3 linked regions of the Drosophila melanogaster genome follow. The gene in region 2 interacts genetically with the main gene of each other region. Each region holds a gene or a part of one and is shown on either strand. Other genes may lie near its edges.

Region 1 (8,910 bases), on a different chromosome or scaffold from region 2:
AGTAGTTATATTCTCAACTTTTCAAAAATCACAGAAAGCGGAGTAGAACCATAATTAAATTAAGGGCGCATCTTCTATTAAACGTTATTGTCGTTAGCTGATTCACAGATTATTATATAATGCTATTAAAAATTCTCGTTAATTTCATGCACTTGAACGTCGACAAGGTTCAAGTTTGGTTAATTGAATACTCACAGCATGGGTATGAGTGTAAGTATATCTCTATGCATTTCTATAGATCGGAGAGTCGAGGAGCGAATCGCACATAATCATTTGTATGCAGGTGGAATGGTGTCATTCTGCCGCACGATAGACTGCGAATTTAAATACGTGGTCCGTGGTGAAGGAATAAACTTTATTTGATACAAAAACATCAGAGCTTCTCATATGTACAGGCAAAAACGAAACGCAACGAGAATGGAAGTGTAAATGCCACTAAAACTGACTAAACAATAGCTGAAATTGCATTTAACAAGGTTCTTTAGCACGCTAAAAACAATTGAAATGCGTATAGGAGGCTATCATCTACACAAATGCAGATACAACTACGTTTACGATATACGATATATATATGCTTACGATATACAAAAGTGCATTGTTGACATGGAAATGTGCTTCGGATGCATCTCTCCTAGGCTGAATGATCTTTGCTGCCGATTTCCCCCGATTTTCCTCTACTACACTTAGCCTTACAAACTAATTAACAGCATATTGGGCAAAAGGCAAGGTTCAGACACAACTCTATTGCAGCTCTTAGAAGCGGATTTCGTTGCGCTGCACCTGGTCGTAAACCTGGGGCGTGAGCAGCTCGTACCGACCCTTGGAAGTCTGGTAGTACAGCGCGTCCTTGATCGCGTTCGGATCGTAGCCCTCCTTCTGCAGGTCTACCTTGCGCAGCTTAAAGGTTCCAGTCAGGTCCACCTTGGTGAGCAATCGAATGATCTGGGGACGAGCGTACGCGGGCAGCACCTTGGCCAAGCTAGCGGCGAAGACGTCGAGGTCCAATTCTCGCTCCGGATCATAGATGGCGGCCATGCCGGCCCTTCCCTCGGTGTGCGGAATGGTTACGCCGTAAACGACGGTATCCTTGTAACCGGCCACATTGCTGACTTGCGCCTCCACCTCGCTGGTGGAAACATTCTCGCCCTTCCAGCGGAAGGTGTCACCGGTGCGATCCTTGAAGTACAGATAACCCTTCTCGTCGGCAACCAGCAGATCTCCGGAGATGAAAGCCATATCGCCATGCTTGAACACATCCTTAACAATCTTCTTCGCGGAGGCCTTTTCATCGACGTATCCGAGGAATTCGCGAGAAGGATTTCCTTTGACGATCTTGCCGATGAATACGCCTGGCTCGTTGGGAGCGCACAGTTGGCATAGGCCATTCCTATCTCTAATGGGCTCTCCGGTGTCCGGATCGGCGCGAATGATCGAGATTGGGTAGATCTTGGGCAGGATGCGCGACACAAAGCCGATGGCGCCCACCGTGTTGTCATGATTCATGATGTTCGCATTACCCTCGGTGGCGCCGTAGAACTCGCCAACCTTGGCAATGTTGAAGCGCTGCACAAACTGTGGCCAAATCTGCGGTCGCAGTCCGTTTCCAAAGACCAGACGCACTCGGTGTTTCTGGTCGTATTCCGAGGGTTTCGTAGCTAGAATGTAGCGAGCCATCTCACCGATATACTGACCAATCTGGAAATCACAAAAGCCAAATTAGAGAGTGATTTAGTTAGGCCATAAATCTCACTTACAGTTGCATTATACTTGGCGCAGTCGGCGAAATAGTTGGATGCCGAGAACTTCTTGCGAATGGAGACCGTGGAGCCAAAGAGCACCGACTGACCCATGCACATAATGCCACCAGCGGTGTGGTACAAAGGCAAGGGCGTGTAGAAGATGTCCTCCTCCTGGAAACCCATGGTGTAGTGGATGCCAGCAGCGATAAACAGATAACTAAAGTACAAATTTGTTTAGAACCTTTCCATTTAAACTTAGTTCAGAAAAGCTATTGCACTCACCGGGAGTGAGAGATAACCGCAGCCTTTGGCAATCCTGTGGTGCCGGAGGTGTAGATGTAGACCAGCTTGTCGTGGTGGTTAACCTGCGTCTTGTTAGGCTTCTCATAGCTGGCCGTGGTCAGCAGCGCGTTCAGATTCTTGGCCTGCGGTATGTTCTTTTCCGTCTCGCTGTTGTTGTTCTCGTTGTTGAACTGGAAGAGTGTGAGGTTCGCTGGCAGATCCTTGGCCACGTCGGTGACAGCTTCCAGGAAGTCCTCGCCGTAAATGAGAGCCGAGCAATGGGCCACCGTGATGCTGTGCAGCAGGGAGGGACCGCGCAGATTCGTGTTGATCAGCGGTGTGATCACACCGATCTTGGAGAGACCCAGCCAGGTGGCCACGTACTCGGCGCGGTTCTCCAGCAACAGGGCCACCACATCGCCCTTTTTGTAGCCCTGAGCCTGCAGCACATTGGCCACCTTGTTCGCATGCTCGTTCACCTGACGGAAGGTCCAGCGTTGCGTCTCACTGACCACAGCCACCTTGTCCGGATGGGCCTGAACATTTCGTTCGAAGACGTCCGCCACCGTGTAGTTGAGCCGCTCATGGCGCTTCGTGTACCTCAGCAGCTTGATATAGGCCCAGAGAGCTCTGTTAAGGGGAAATTTGATTAGTAAATTAAATATCAAACCTGATAAATCGAGGAATCTTCAAACGAACAATGCTAAATTAGTTAGTGCTATATAAAAGTGTGTTGACTAGACAATATTTTTGAAGATAGCGTATCTTCTTTGCAATGGAAAATCCACAAATAACGTGTATAACCAACGGATATTGATATGTTACTCAGTTTTGGAGGGAAAGTGTTTGATTAGCGGCTAGTCGAGGATAGTAGCCGTACCGGCATTATCTTTGCCATCAATCGCGTGTGTTTTATGGTTAGTGGTTGGGGTCTGTATAAATAGCCAACAGAAATCGAAGCTCGACAAGCGCAACAGCCGTGATGCGATAAACCCAGAGATAAACCCGCTCGAAGTGGTTGCAATTCAATCCGAACGTGGTAACCTAGTCCGACCATGCGAGCCACAACTTAATGACGCTGCTAATTTCGAGCTGAGTAATGCAAAGTTCACGGGAAGGTTGAGATAAAATCGTATTTGTTTAGCCAGTTTCAAGGGCTTTTGAATTTTCCGGGAGAAAGCTTAACCAATAGCTACAGATATCTAAATCTGACGTTTATATTTTCATTTGCAATCGTATAATCATTGGAACAGAACTCTTACACATCTTAGTATCTTATCACTTATGAGGATTAAGAGTTTTATACTTAAACTGTAACTGTTGTTTGGCCCATGTTTATCAATATTGAAGAAGCTATCGGCAAAATAAATAAACCTGCACACTGAACGAAGGCAGATAATGTTTATCATTGACTAGCGGTTGAAATAAATTGCACTTGTATTGACAAATGTGAGTTTAGAAATTTGATTTTTTTGTAATCATGTGTATTTCTTATAAAGATAGATGCCTTCAAGTTGTTACACGGTATTAATTTGTATAAACTATAAAGAGCTGCCTCTGTAATACTAATAGTTTCCTCTACAAGTTCTAGAAGAGCTGATGCTACGGTCTGAAAGGCATTTGCAAGCACTTAAGATCCACAGAGATTTGATACGATAGGAAAGAGTGTGAGGTAGAACTAATCCAAATCGCAAATACAATAGTTCGATGGGAACTGTATTAGAAAAGGGGGAAAAAAAACCTACACTCGACTTGGGACTCGACCACAACGACGATCTCAATTTGAATTCGCTTTGCACCCGTGCGTACTTTGCACCGTCAACGGGGCAGTGAAGTGTCGATAAGATTGCCGGTAACAGCTAGTTAACTTAGCTTAGCGCTTAACGCACATTAGCCGCGTATTTATAGGGTTTTTAATCAGGCCTTATGACCCCCATCGAGTGCTTTGTTTGCTTGGCTCCTTTTGGAGTTGCTGCACATGTTTGCCCGCAGATTGGATTCGTCTACTTGGTGGCCGAGCAAAAAACTTCGATACGTGGCCAAGGTTGACCGGCCAGACTTGAAGTTGATCTTAAGAATCTGTTGTGAGCGCGAAATATACGAATGGCCATATAGACGAGCTGGGTAAATGGGAAACCAGTGTTGGCCTTGGCATGGAACTTGATCTGCCGAGTTTGACTCATTAAGCGAAAACTGCCGAGCAAATTAAATGCTGCTGAGAATACTTGCTATTTTAATAGCTATAACTTTACGTATTTAACCTTATTTATGGTCAAACATAATTTTGTAAAATGCGTTGCAATGTGTGAATATTTGCGAAGGCTATAGCTCAATTCAAACTTAATTGAATCTTAAAATACTTAGTTAAAATGAAGTGTAAAGATTTTGCTCCTATTAGTTAAGGTGTTTGGTTAGATGGTTTTGGTTGTAAAAATGTATATTACTAACAATACCTGTGCTAAAAAGCAATATCTATAGCCGTCTTCAAAATACATACACAAGTCAAAAGGCGACACTTCCGCTTTTTTAATTATCGTAACGACAGACGACACAAAGTATATTGATGAGACATACATAATTTTGACAAGCTTTTCGTTCGCTTATTGCTTGGTCTACAATTGGTATAGTTTGGCTTGCCGTGGCAACCCTGGAATCTTAACACTTCCACTGTAGCCATAAAAAAGTGAATCACTTAAAAATTAAAAATCTATGTGGTTTATAATATTATTGTAATTTCTTTAAATTTATACTATTTATGAGGTTAGCAAACTTACTTTGATATCCAAGTCCTAGACATTCTTAACTATAACAATTTTAAAAGTAAAGAGCTGCTTAAAAATTCTGAATACTTAATAACCTTTCTGCAAAATTTCAAAATGTAAGTAGCCCTGGCAACCCTGGAAAAACGAAAATTCCAAGACGCAGGCGACACTTCCGCCATCATAATGACCCAAGCTTTGGCTCTTTGGCGTACGTTTTCAAGAACAGATCGGTTAGTGTGCCAGTGGTCTTCCGCCTGACGCACTCGATCGCATTCGGATCGATTAGTATGCGCGGAGGGTTTCGCTGGGCGACGATCGTATGAAGTCAATGGTAAATAAAAGCGAGTTTTGTTTTGGTTTCTCGTAGGTTTTTTTTTTTTTTTGGGCTGTGCGACCTTGAACCTGAAGAAGTCAATAAACTGCTCGTAATCGAGTGGCAAAAACTAATAATTTGCGTTGACTATTCGTCACAATGTCGCATGGATCATTTCGCCAGTTAAGTTTTCTCTTTTATGGTTTTCCCAACTGGAAATGAATGCTGCTGTTGGCGACCCAAATAGATGGAAAACGAGTTTTTTCCACTGTGGTTTCTGACTTTCGGCTACGAAGTGAACCTCGCACTCGGCTGATTTTTCAGTTCGCTTATGTTCTCAATCGATTCACAAAAGAAAAGCCCCCAAGATGTTGTTGTGTATTGAAATGCAAACCGCACGGGGGCGGTATTGTAAACTTATCACTGGACTTGGTCTTGGGTACAGTATGCCCTCCCTGTACAAGAGCAGCACTCACGTTAGATCGCGACTAGCGGTCGCACCCGCTATGTAGAACCAGCGCCAGCCGGGTTTCGTCAGTAGCAGAGCCACCAGTGCGACGAGCACAGCAAAAATCCAGCCCATTGTGTGGAGCGTGTAGATGACGCAGGCGATTGCCAAACCGAAAGCGACCGTTGCGCAGAAAAACCGAAAAATGACTAAAAACCGCTGGCGGCGACGTCGCTGTCGATCGTGCGAGCCGTCGGTTATCGACTTTCGATCAGCTGGCCGCTTGGCGTTGCCAGATCAGCGAAAAGAAAATAAGATCGTTAGTATTCGAAATGGGTTTTGAGATTTAAATTCTTACATTGGTGCTGTAGAGCGCGCAGTTGTCAATGTTTATTATCACATTGCTGTTCGCATAGTTGTCCAACAGGCTGTTGTGCTGCAGAAACATTTTTGCATTTTATTTCAGTTTTTAAAATTTGAGTGTTCTTTGTATTGCATGACCACTGTCTTGCTCCATATGTTGCACACATTACTTACTGTAAGCTCATGCCTCGGATGACCAATATTTGAGCTATTGTAACGCAAACGCTGATATCGTTCGTTGCGCTGTCACAAGAATCCATTGAACATGTAGAACGGCAGAAAGTGTCGGCGAGCCTTGCGAAATAACATTTTCCGGTATTTAAATGGGAGTAACTTTGCAGTTTTTAAACAATTGCCGTTGCTTGTTTTGGTTTTGTAACTTGTCCTGCGCCAATTGTTTTTTTTTCGAGAGCTTTTGATGCTGCTCTTAGAAACTAGTTCCTAAAATCCAAAACATCGGTATGTGGTCCACCACTAACTATCGAATGGCTGCTCGATATCATCAGCTGTCCCAACCATCAGGTGGCAACTCTTGAGGCCAAAACAAATGTTTAGTTTTATTTAGCGGGTTTTTTTTTTGTTTATTGTCTAATCACTGCCTCGCCATGAAGATTTTGTGCGAAGTTCAGGTGGTGAATCGCGCCACCCAGACGAACAAAACGCCACGTCCCGTGAAATCCACACTGGCCATTGGCTACAAGCAAAGCGCCAGGGATGCGAATGGAAACACCAAGAAGGAGCTGGAAATGGTGCTCTTTAGTGGACAAAACAAGACTGGAAATCGCTACAAGGTCAAGGATAACATTCATGTCGTGCACACCAAGTTTGTGCTGGATGGGAAGACCACCATTGGTTTCATACAGCCGCCAGATAACCTGCTTATTAAGTGCGATCCTATCCAGCTGAAAGGATTCCTGCAGACCCTCAAGCTGGGCATGGATGGCAAGGACGCCATCAATTTGAGACTGAACATAAACGCCGCTACGGCAATTCCGCAGAAGGCACAGCCCCAGGTGCGCATGGTAATCAGCAAGCGGAGCGAGTATCCCATCAAGGGATTTCCGCGCACCCTCAAATCGCTGACCATCAACAACAGCCAGCTAGTGAAGCTGAGCTTCGAGATATGCACCCTGCGCAACCTCACAAAGCTGGATGTCAGCGGTAACAAGCTGACCAAGGTGGATTGACTAATTAGTTATCATTTTAGACCACTGAGTTAAGCTTAATTCTGCCTTTTAGATTCCCTCGGAGCTGGGTCGTCTTCCGCTCACCTCGCTGCACCTGGGCAACAACTTACTGGGTACTCAGAATGACTGGTGCTGGCTGCGGGGCACTAAGCTCTGTCAGTCGCTCGGCGAGCTGGATCTGTCGGGCAACGGGCTGACTTACTTTCCACCTCCGCTGGTTAAATTCGAGTCGCTTGTATCGCTGAATCTCAACAACAATCTGCTGAGTCGGCTGCCCTTTGCCATTCGCCGGATGAAAGCACTGCGTAAACTTTATGTGTGCAGCAACGAACTAGAGTCCCTGCCCTCTGCTGTCGAGGATCTACGGATCGACCTGTTGGATGTGTGGGGCAATTGCTTCAAGGAATTCAATGCAGATGCCGCGCAGCAAATGTATCTGCAAAAGGCGGCATCTAATTCGCCGCAACCTTTGTGGCTTTTGGGAGCTCGAGCTGTGGATAAGTATATGCTGCCCTTGTCCGCGGGCTCTATTCCCGCTGTGCTAATAGATCTGATAAGGGAGGCTCCCAGATGCCCGTGCGGCGAGCTCTGCTATGCCCAGCGCAAGGAGGACCTCTTCCAGCGCGTTGTTCAGCCGAAATTCATCACCGTTAAGAACCTCACATACAGTCGTGAGCATCAGATCTACGCGGATGTGGTCCTCTGTGACTCTAGGTGCAGTGCATCTGCTGAACTGAAGTTGCTCTTCAATATAATCTTTTCCTGATTGAATCAGATGGTGTACATTTTTAGCTATTAGTCAAAGATTTCTTTAAATTATTTCACTAAACCACATCATTGATCCAAAATTAATTGGCGCGGAGCACTTATTTAAGTATACGTATTTTTATATACTTAATCATTAATCATTGCTCGGTTATGTTTTCATTCACCGTATTTGTTATACTTGTACTGCCAATAAATGCGAATTAACGATTATTATAAGTTAGTAGGCTTAAGTGCAAAATAACCAGAAGTTTAAGAATATGTTGTAATTTAAGGTATCCAAGGAATGAGTATATGCTACACATGTGAGCATAAGGCATTGATTTTCCTTTTGGGCAATAAGTTGAATAGTCCTTGGATGCAGTGAATCCTCCTTCACGGCACAATTTCCGTGGCATAAAGACATTCACACGCACGCTTGGTTGCTTACTTTGTTTTCGTATTACAGAAGCTCGTTGTTTTTATTATTAAAAGCTTCGTGCGTATGTGACTTGAATAAACGATTTTTTATCAGCCGGCTCACCACTCACTCCACTTTGTGCCTTCTTGCTTTTCCACCACATACGTCCATCCATTTGACTACACTACCTATGTGTCCGTTACCTTTTTGGTTTAATTATTAAAAAATGTAGTCCCATTATTTGTTTAATATTTGTCATACCTTAGAGATATGCAAGATACATATGTGATCGAACATTATTTCTATATATTCTAAGCCCTTGAAAGGGTATCCGAGTATTGGATACCTCATGTTTCCTGTGAGCCTTCTCCTTATCACTTGCTGTTCTTTGCTTTTCTTTAGCTTTATCAAATCAAAACTGGGATGTGACGCCACTTTTTTAAATAAGCATAAAGAGCGACGCAGCCTTCAAGGACCTTCGCCACTCCAGCTCCTTCGCTGGGCTTTAATGTGCAGCTGGGGAATCGGGCGGCGAAGGCAAATGTCCTTTCAGGACGAAAAGGATGAGCCATGACTTGTGGCAAACTCGAGCCCAACTATAAAAATGTTTATCAGCATTTGTCTGTTCGAGGGGTGGGGGTGGGGTGTGGG
Region 2 (4,803 bases):
ACTCCAATTCCGTGATCCGTTAAATTCTTGTTAAGACAAGGGCCGAGTGCAAATTATAGCCAGGGGCCAAGAAACTTATTGCGAAGGCCATAATAACATACAGAGCAGCGCAGAAAACCCATATAATTCATATAATACTCGTGATATATGTAAGCTTTTATTGACATTTTGAAGCACCTGCTTGAGGTTTTAGCCCGTTCAGCGTTTATCACACAGCTATTTACACGTCATCGTTGCGCCGATGAGTCCTTGTCTTCGGTTCCTTACAGTTCCTTATAGGCATTGCATATAGCTCAGCTATCGTAATAACGGTGCACCGCTTGTAGGCCTGGCTATTTCGACGCCACTAGCGCCTTATCACATGTGTTTTCGGTATTTAGGGAGTACCAGTTCCAGTTTCCAGTTTTGGGCATGCCCTGTACTAACCTAGACGACCAGATCACCGCTCAGACACTGCGGGGTATAAACGTTGGCCAACGAGTCCCAGCCACAGTCGGCCAACTGATGGGTCCTGTGGGGATTCCAATCCAATCCGCACACGAACTCCGTGTGCCGCGCATTGACCTCCTGGGCGGACTCACCACGCTCCAGATTCCAAATCCTAAAAAGGTGACAAAAGTGGACAGTTGTTACTAACCATAAAAATGTCCTGTTTTTTGAAAGCCTAAGATCATTCCACTTACCTTGTGGTAAAATCATAATTGGCCGATGCCAAGACCGCTGCCGAGTGCGGTGAACAGGCCAATCGCCGGACAGCGAATTCTCCAGAGTACAGCTCAAAGACGTGCGTCCTCATCTTGCGCAGATCCCAGCCGCGGATCAGACCGTCCGAACCTCCAGTGACCAGGACATTGCGATCGAAGTGCGACCAGTCGCAGCATAGTGCCTCACTCGCATGCGCCTCGATGCTCATCAGGGGTTTACCTGCAAAGTCAAGAGAGTTCCATAAGTTAAGATGTCCATCGGTACTTACGCTTGCAAACAGATTGGCGATCAGGGGCGAGAACTTGGCCCCGTAGATCAGATCGTTGTGGCCCACAAATGTGGTGATGGAGTTCTGTCTGTTGCAGTCCCACAATTTCAGTGTACAATCCCAGCTGCCCGAGAGCAGCGTGTGGTAGTTCCACTTCTCGCCCCAGTCCAGGCTGTACACCTCGTTCTTGTGCTCCTGCAGGCAGATCAGCGGCTGTTTCGGCGTCAGCTGGTTGCTCGCCGATTCGCCATCCAATCCGCACCAGATCTGAAGCGATCCATCTCCGGAGGCAGTGGCGGCGATATCGGCGGCATACGGACACCAGGCGACGTCGAACAATCCATCGGACCACTCTAGGCGGCACAGCTCTCCGAGACTCTGGCCATCTGTGGATGAGGAATTTGTGTTGGAGTTCTGTTCCAGCAGAAAGAGGGAACCACCTCCAGCAAGACCGTACAGTTGGCTGGGTATCGAAAAAAAATGGTTTTCTATTAGTATATTGTTGGTTTTAGAGCTTAAGATTGATCTCACCTTGTAGCTAGCAGCAAGTAGTTAGCCTCGAAAGGCGAAAAGCGCAGGCTATAGCCATGTCGGTCTGTGGTGGTGTGTGTCTGTGTCTGCATCTTGGTTCTAGATCTCAACTGCAAAGAAAAAAAAAGGAGAGATTCAAAATAATACCAATTTCTCTGGACCTTAAATATTATCTAACATTAACTACAATGAATTGCGACCTTTGGTAAGCTAGTTGTAAGAAATGCCAATTTCAATTATACCTCTCACATTAAAATCAATATATCGACGTTTGATACATAACAAAATTAAAAACATCTAAGGTTTCTCCTTGCTGCCCACTGATGTTTGGCTAAGAGAGAACAAAACTGGCCGATTGATAACAACCCGGTAACACCAAATCGGATGCTAATCCAGCTCCAACCTACCATGCTCAATTATTCAACAGTTGGCCAAATGACCTCGTACTAGGTCGGAAAATCGGAAAAAGATACTTGACATTAGCCAATTTGCTCGGGCAAGTGGCAAACTGCGCAGAAAATAGAACAACCCCTGGAAGCAGCTTGTTTGCAGTTTTCCCTTAGTTCCTATGGTTCTATCTTATTGTCGTGTTGGACAAGCCAACAAACAAGTGCATAACGAGCAAATCCAGTTAGTGGCCAGAATGAAGACCCACGGACAGGGCCAGGGCAAAGGTATATAAGCAGGTTGTACGGCACTTGGGTTTCGCATTTTCCTCCGCCGAACGGAAAACTCTATAACGCGCATCGCCCGACTTAGCCTCGAATTGCCCAGTTGCATTTGCCAGGAATCAAAGAAATCCACTAATCCACAATGGTTGTATCCGTGAAGGTCTTTAAGAAGGCCACGCCCAACGGCAAGGTCACCTTTTATCTGGGACGCCGCGACTTCATCGACCACATCGACTACTGTGATCCCGTCGATGGAGTGATTGTGGTGGAACCGGACTATCTAAAGAACAGGAAAGTCTTTGGCCAACTGGCCACCACCTATCGCTATGGTCGCGAGGAGGACGAGGTCATGGGAGTGAAGTTCTCCAAGGAGCTTATCCTGTGCCGGGAGCAAATTGTGCCCATGACCAATCCCAACATGGAGATGACACCGATGCAGGAGAAGCTGGTCCGCAAACTGGGCAGCAACGCCTATCCGTTCACCTTCCACTTCCCGCCCAATTCGCCCAGCTCCGTTACTCTGCAGCAGGAGGGCGACGACAATGGCAAGCCCCTGGGCGTCGAGTACACCATCCGGGCATTTGTGGGCGACTCCGAGGACGATCGCCAGCACAAGCGGAGCATGGTCAGTCTGGTGATCAAGAAGCTGCAGTACGCTCCCCTCAATCGTGGCCAGCGTCTGCCCAGCTCGCTGGTCAGCAAGGGATTCACCTTCTCGAATGGCAAGATCAGTCTGGAGGTTACGCTGGACAGGGAGATCTACTATCATGGCGAGAAGACGGCTGCCACCGTCCAGGTGTCGAACAACTCCAAGAAGTCCGTGAAGAGCATCAAGTGCTTCATTGTGCAGCACACTGAGATCACCATGGTGAACGCCCAGTTCAGCAAGCATGTGGCCCAGCTGGAGACCAAGGAGGGCTGCCCCATCACTCCGGGCGCCAATCTCACCAAGACCTTCTACTTGATTCCGCTGGCGGCTAACAACAAGGATCGCCATGGTAGGATTTGGATGTGATAGTTGTGATTCTGGATAGTTTCTAATGGATTATTTAATTGTGAACTCAGGTATCGCCCTGGATGGTCACTTGAAGGACGAGGATGTCAACCTGGCTTCATCCACCATGGTGCAGGAGGGCAAGTCCACGGGAGATGCCTGTGGTATTGTCATCTCGTACTCGGTGCGCATTAAGCTCAACTGCGGCACTCTGGGAGGTGAAATGCAGACGGATGTGCCCTTCAAGCTACTCCAACCGGCACCTGGTAAGCTTTAGAAGATTACTTGAACTTGACTTCTAGTTTGTAATTCCTTTGATGTGGTATAGGAACCATTGAGAAGAAGCGCTCGAATGCCATGAAGAAAATGAAGTCCATCGAGCAGCACCGCAATGTGAAGGGCTATTACCAGGATGATGACGATAATATTGTATTCGAGGACTTCGCCAAGATGCGCATGAACAATGTGAACATGGCGGACTAGGCCACCGATCTTCAATCTCTTCTAGCTCTGTTGTGAACCGAATTGAACTAAATCGAAAGCACTGAAAATTTGTTGCAGCAGTCTCTCGTGGAGGCCACAATCTTTGTATTATAATCGTATCTATAATGTAACTTTGGTGGATCTGGAGTTTGTACCCGTACATATGCATGTTGATGAGTTGAACAGACCTCGTGTCGCTATATTATAAATGTGTTATGGCTATCAAAAGCACTCACCTTTTCTCTCGTTTGCGATGTAGTATCCAAAAGTGATTCGGTAAGGATTCGGTTTTTGGTAGTGGATTGTTCTTGGCGGTGCTGTGGGTTTCAACTTCAGAAGTCGAATGATCTAAACAACTGCGCAGCTCGACGACGAAGGATCTGCTGGCAGGAATTCTAAGGGTGATTTTTCAACGATGACAGGGGGTTGAAAAGCCCAATGCTTATAGGTCACATCGTAGGCTTTCAACCCCTTGCAAGAAGCAACAGGCTGCCAGGATATGTGTTCCACCAATCAGGATCAACCAGAACTGGATATGGCCGGCTCTAACGGTCAACGGAAGTTCCAAGCTCCAGATGTTGACAATGCGTTTGCCAAAATACACAATTTTTGTGTATGCTAAATAGCCCAAGCTTTTGACCTTGATGATGGCTAAGGCCGCCAGCTGCCAGCAGTTTGATTCTAGGTCTCATCCCCGTCAGTCTAGCTGATTTTCCTCTTTTTTTTGGTTTTTTCTATTTTACAATTTTCTCGCATTTTATTTGCCATATCTTATATAAGCCCTGCAGCTGACCGTTGGAGCATTGCACAATCCGGGGCAGCAGCGTCGATCGATTTCACACACCGCTGACTGCTGGGCAAGTGACTTCCGGCTTTTGGCCAAGCCCCGAAAAGTGGCCAACTATAAATGGCTATGTTGTTGTCAAAATGCTGCCACAAATTTGACGAGAGTGCAACGCGATGGATCTGCCAATTGGAAAGTTAAACGGACTGCTAAAGATGCAAATATTCCTCCTGCAATTGTTGCTTTTCGTTTCGCCGGCATTGTTGCAGCAGCCACATGTCTTTTACCATCCAAGACAATTGTATTACGATTCACCGCGTCTTCGTCGCTTTGAGTATGGTGCCGCTGCCACGCCCATTGTGGGCGG
Region 3 (5,669 bases), on a different chromosome or scaffold from region 2:
AGAATGTCCTGCTTGTTCTGGATGATGATCTGGCCATTTTCGTTGCGTGTGCCGCGCAGCAGGATGATGTTGCCGCCACTCGTGGCCTGATGCTGCTGCTGGTGTTGCTGCTTCTGCTGTTGCATGGCCCCGATCTTGAGCTTGGCCGCTCGCAGAGTCGTCGTTGTACTGGTTGTTGCTGCTGGCTTTGCTGATTTCGCTTCATTGCTGCTTAGCTTGCCACTGCTCTGCGATCGGATCAAGACATTTTTGGAGGTGATTTGGCCTAGAAAGGAATAACAAAAGTAAATCAGTCTTAAATAATCAATTCAATGTACATACAATATATAAAAGGTATTTATCCAGGTAAAACAACAAAATTAAAAATGTACATCCTAGAACGTCTGGATGTATAAAAAGAGTAGATCTTATTTATTTATTTGTAAGTTATCTAAACAGCGTGTTGGTTTCATTTTTGGTGTAAGTGCTCCTGTAACATTTTGTTCTCGATTTCTCGAATTGAGCAATTTCGAGTGGCCCCAAAAAACGGACAGCCCCATTGTATGCAAATTCAATGGAAACTTCATAAGCGGCGCAAGATTTATGACTCCATCTTGATCGAATTTGGAAAGCCTTGCATTAGAAGCGCATGTGACAGGGGAGGCAGGAGGCGTGGCTGCCATTGTTGCACTTTCCCAGGGTCCGTAAAAATGAACTGAAAGGGACGTCGAGCATTACGTATACGCGACGTATGCCTAGAGCGGTCAGTGGCTCGGACACTCTATTTTGTTGGCCAACAAATGGGGAGGATGGGCGGTAGCCAAACGCTAAATCAAGCGAAAGACGACATGTTTATGGCAGGGACGAAGGACTACTTAGCCGACGAGCCCCAGCACAAAACGCAATAAAAGTGCAACAAACAAACAGCGAGTTTTCAGCCAAGAAAGGAGGAGAAAGTAATGGGGTAGGTTCACGGGTGTAGGCAAATGGGGGTCTCTGCCCTGGCATGCGTTGCCAAATATAGACTCTCAAGGCTGAAGGCGACACGGAACGTAAAGTGCGCGCCGGAAACATTTCGAAATGTAGCCTAAACACTTGTCCGGCTCCCCTGCTTTTCCCGCCTCCCCCCGCCGCCGGCATCCAGCACCCTTTCCTGGGTATTTCCACACCCCCAAAAACCATGTGTGTTTGTTTTCGCAAAAACGTGCGGGTCATAATTAGCCGTTGACGCCGCCTTCAGTCGGCTGTGCTTTGGGGAAAAGCGGAAAAGCAGAAAAGCGGGCAGGGGAAAGCGCCACATGCGACCATCTGACCCCAAGTGGACAAGTGTCTGCGCCCCCTTCGCCTTCCTTGGAGTGTCTGTGCAAAAAGGTCGCCTGCCGCCAGGCAAAATAAACCGCCTGAATTGGACCAGGATCGGAATAGAATAGGTGGGGCCACTGGCTGTTGGCTGGCCATCCATTCGAGCGCACATACTTCATTGTAATGTATGGCAGACCAGCCACAACAGCACGCAGATCCCAGGATTCGGGGCACTCGGGGATCAGGCAGCCGCGTAACACATAAAACACTCTTGGCTGAAGCTTCGCATATTTTTGCGTTCGTCGCGGCTTTTGATGTGCAACGATGTGGACAGTGGGCACGACAATTGTTAGTTTAAGTAAAAAAAAAAATATACAACATATATATAATAATGAAAACCAGAAGATAAAAACGGAATTTTGAATGGAAAATGATTTTGTTGTAATTATTTTAAAATTAATTTGCTTTTAATTCGTATTTATTTTTAAGGGTTTTTCTCATGTATAAATGCTGTTAAAACCAAATATTCCTATAATAGGAAATATCAATTTAATTGAAATATTTTTTGTTTTTAATTCTTTTCTTTAAATTTTGTTTGATTACAGGATTTTGAAAAAAAAAAATCGTGCTATATAATCCCACTGTTGTACTCCACGTGCTTTACTCCACTTGCTTAGCTGGGAAACTGGGGGGGAAACAAAAGTTTCTGGGTAGCTGGACAAATTGCAAGTCTATTGAATTTTTATTAGAAGCATAAATCAAAAAGCGTTAGATTTGCCAGCTGGGGAAAGAGTTCGATAAATATGTCAATAGATTCTGCACATAGATAGCCGACAAAGGGTTAAGAAAGAGGACAAATCAAAGATGAACAAACCACAAGAACAAGAACTTTGATAGGCTTTATCAGTCTGCAACTGATTATTACTCTGGGTCTAGACATAAATATTTATTATTTAAATAAAGTGGTGAACGTCTTGGATTTTTTTGTGACCACTTTCCAATCTTTTAAACAATCATTGTTTATAAACATTTAGGTCACTAGTTTTGTGTTTGGAAAAGAAATGTTTCCATTTATCTTATCTATACTCATGAATTTATGACCAACTAAGAGTGTGTTATTAACACTTCTAAAATTCGAAGCCCGCCAATCGGTTTTTACGAGCAGAGTTGCCATATTTATGTTTAAAGAATCCAGATAACAGCTGATTGCGTCCATAGGAATTTCCAATTAGACTCTCCCATCTTTAAACCAGCTTTGCAATACCGTAGATGGGCGTAATACTAAAGAGATTTCAGTATTGACAGGAAAGGCGTAATATGGCACAGCGGCCACCAATGGGTTAATGGCCCAAAGAAACCCCCAACAACGTGAAAACAAAACGCAACGCAAAGCGAAACACAACAAAACAAAAACTAATTGGAAAACCAATATCGAGGAGAGCACGACTATCAGGTCGAAAATCGGGAGATACGTGGGCTACAGCACAGATATAACTTACATATATGCATGTAGAAGAGGGATGGGTGATAGGGGTAGGGGGAGTTGGGGCTAACTTACTTTGGAGTTTCAGTGTGGAAGTTGAATTAGAAGTAGAAGAGGACGAAGCGCTGGTGGAAATATCGGGCACATTTTCCATGTGCACAGCTTTAACAACCAATTTTAGAATGCACTACTCTCTTAGCGGTTGGCACATTTATTTCGCTTTATTGAGAATGCATTTTCATTTTTGCACACCAGCTCGCACGCACACACACACAGGTGACATGGGCGCTCGCACACGCACACAGCGACACCGAAATCGCAGAACTCTGGGATATCGAAAAAAGGTAAACAAAACTTTTTCACTGCCTCCCTGTGCGCAAGCCGTGGAGTCCCTTGGCGGATTTCGATGTGCTTCAGCTGGACGATGCATAAAATGCAACAAAAATCAATAATATCACCGTTTCACACACGAAATTATTAAAAAAAAACGATAGCGAAAATATTTTGAGCTACTCCAAAACTGTGTGCATGTCAAACTGTCAAACATATGACGGCAAAGTTGCCAGATGTTGCAAAGGGCGAGCTCCCACAAAACTTAACGACAATGATTTCGAATTTTTTAAAATTGATAACTTATTATACAAGAAAGCAAGAATACTTTACAAGCCAATAACCTTGTAATCTTAACCTTACAAGTCTATGTTTGATATAAATTAGTTTAAACTATATCTAACCATCTGGCAGCACCCCAAGTGTTCCACTTATCGGCTTATCGGTCAAGATGACAACTCCAACATTCAATTATCGGAAATCGGGCACTATATTTAAAATATCGTATTGAATTTCAAATCCGGGTTTTGTTAGTCATTTTTTATACGTTTTATAATTATTTTCTTTCTGTTGAATTTTAAACTCCGATGTATCCCGCCGTGTCCGCTGTTTACCGCCGACGTCCAGCTGACGGTTCCACCCTTCTTTAACTTACATATGTATATGTACATTTCAACGAATCTAGTATACCCTTTCAGTCTACGAAAATTTTAATCTTAGTTCAATCAAATGATGTATATTAGTATATAGGTACATAGTCGATGGCCTCGGTTATATTATCTTAAATAAATAAATAATGAAGGATTGATGAATTTATAATGCATATTTGTCTTAAAAACGCTGAGATTGGTTTGCTTGGACGTGAGCAGGAAGTTCTATTCCTGCGACTTTTGTTAGAACCCAAGGAAAATATTACATACCATTCTAGTTCTTAGCTTAGTTCAATCATAAAGTTATATGTCAAAATCCTTTAAGAGGAGCATGCAAATGGGAAGTAAAATGGGCGTAAAATGTAAATGACATTTTGTGTAATTCGCATATGTACATTTGTATATTGTAAGCTATCAAAATATATGTATGTTTGTATGTATGTACAGCCCTTGAGACCGCCCATCATTGATAGGCAACGACTTTCGCCGAACTTTCCTTGGATTTTTCCAGCAGCCGACCCCGCGGTTTTCCGACCCCGCCTCGCTTCCCTCCGCTTCCCGCGACCAGCGGAAGTCTCGGGGCTCTGGCTCTATCAAAATCAACGGGCGGGGCGACTGAAGCGAACACAGAATAATTGCCATAGCTGTGTGCCAGTGCCAGTCAGTGCCAGCAGTTTGAAATCGACGACAACATCAGCAGCAACAAGCATTGCAACAACAGCGACGGCGCGGTGATAAGTCGGCTGCTGGCTGTATATTGCCGCTGGCTTGTTATTTTATTGTCGCTTTTGTTGCACATTGAAAATAATACACAAAATAATTGAATTACTCGAAATGTGTGCATGTCCGTGTGCGTGCCACTTGTGTATGTATGTGTGTGTGTCGTGCCTTTATGGGGGCGTTCAGGGCCCCGCTGATAAGCGATGATCAAGAGGTAAACGAGATAAGCGCTGCTCATTTGGAAGCACAGGCAACACGCGCTAAATGAACCCGCCAACTTGATAATCCGCGATCCCAGAAAACAAAATATTTGTCTTCTGAATTATCTTGTAATGATAATTTGACAGTTATTGTATATTAAGAAGGTCAATGTTTACTTATGGGAAGCATAATAAAGCTGAAATTAGAATTTTATGTTTATATCTATAGTTAGGATAATATGATATTCTCTCAATATTGCTACATTACATTGCTGGCTATAATTTAGGCATTGGAATTAATCCGAATCGCGTTGCTTGTTTGATTTGCAGCTTTGAGTTTCTTATTTACATATGTATATGCATTTTGTGGCACTTTGACAGTACTCCCCACTTTTGATTTCCTACAGTGTTCCCCGTGCTCGTCGACATGTGATAAGGAGCGTGAGGTGGAAACGTGACTCTCGGCGGGGCGGGCATCGGCACGTAAATTATGCTGATGACACCGGCTCCGCACCCAGGCTCTGAAAAAGCTGAAAAGCCCGAAAAACTGAGCGAGCGATTGCGCTTGAAAAATACCAGCACGTTCCTACGAGCTGCAAAGCAACAAGAATAACTGGCTTCGGCTGCCATTTTATTGCAGCGCACAAATATTTACAATACCATTTAATGACATTTCGCCTTATAAAACAATGAGTGAGAAACGTATTTTCTGGTTTCATGCATTTTATTTGGCTAATTGGGCCTTTGAACTCTATTGCTTTGATGATGAAAACGACGCCAAGATAACGTCATGTGCGACGAAACAAGCATTCGAAGTCACGCCCCCTCAGGACTCCCCTCAGCGCGCCCAACGAGCATACGCAGTCAACGCCCCTTGGCGACGATAACAATTCAAAAGAGACCCCGATCAAAATGCAATAGCGAGTTTTTAAAAGCCATTATTACTTGCAAATGGGGGGCAGATCGAACGCCCCCTCAATAAGTGCACATTGAACCATGTTGTTG

Evidence for each region.
Region 1: of Arr2 (region 2) and Fatp1, changing one suppresses a phenotype caused by changing the other (phenotypic suppression), as found in Drosophila melanogaster (one study listed by BioGRID).
Region 3: of Arr2 (region 2) and Camta, changing one enhances a phenotype caused by changing the other (phenotypic enhancement), as found in Drosophila melanogaster (one study listed by BioGRID).

Annotation. Positions count from the first base shown.
Region 1 is NT_033779.5:10,510,914-10,519,823, forward strand, and holds the start of Fatp1 (fatty acid transport protein 1), read right to left. Parts: upstream 6,306-8,910; 5' UTR 6,217-6,305; coding exon of another isoform or gene 6,082-6,216; intron 5,981-6,081; coding exon of another isoform or gene 5,903-5,980; 5' UTR 5,827-5,902; coding exon of another isoform or gene 5,680-5,826; coding exon 5,573-5,679; intron 2,652-5,572; coding exon 2,022-2,651; intron 1,957-2,021; coding exon 1,755-1,956; intron 1,696-1,754; coding exon 754-1,695; 3' UTR 1-753. Other genes in the region: Lrr47 (Leucine-rich repeat 47), read left to right, coding at 6,513-7,085, 7,147-7,860.
Region 2 is NT_037436.4:8,646,340-8,651,142, reverse strand, and holds Arr2 (arrestin 2), read left to right. Parts: upstream 1-2,206; 5' UTR 2,207-2,317; coding exon 2,318-3,173; intron 3,174-3,240; coding exon 3,241-3,435; intron 3,436-3,497; coding exon 3,498-3,652; 3' UTR 3,653-3,882; downstream 3,883-4,803. Other genes in the region: Pex7 (peroxin 7), read right to left, coding at 427-601, 684-1,436, 1,505-1,596; CG13305 (uncharacterized protein), read left to right, coding at 4,613-4,803. UniProt on the Drosophila melanogaster protein: Regulates photoreceptor cell deactivation. Arr1 and Arr2 proteins are mediators of rhodopsin inactivation and are essential for the termination of the phototransduction cascade.
Region 3 is NT_033778.4:9,443,682-9,449,350, reverse strand, and holds the start of Camta (Calmodulin-binding transcription activator), read right to left. Parts: upstream 3,306-5,669; 5' UTR 2,919-3,305; coding exon 2,840-2,918; intron 266-2,839; coding exon 1-265. Other genes in the region: ced-6, read left to right, coding at 4,668-4,678.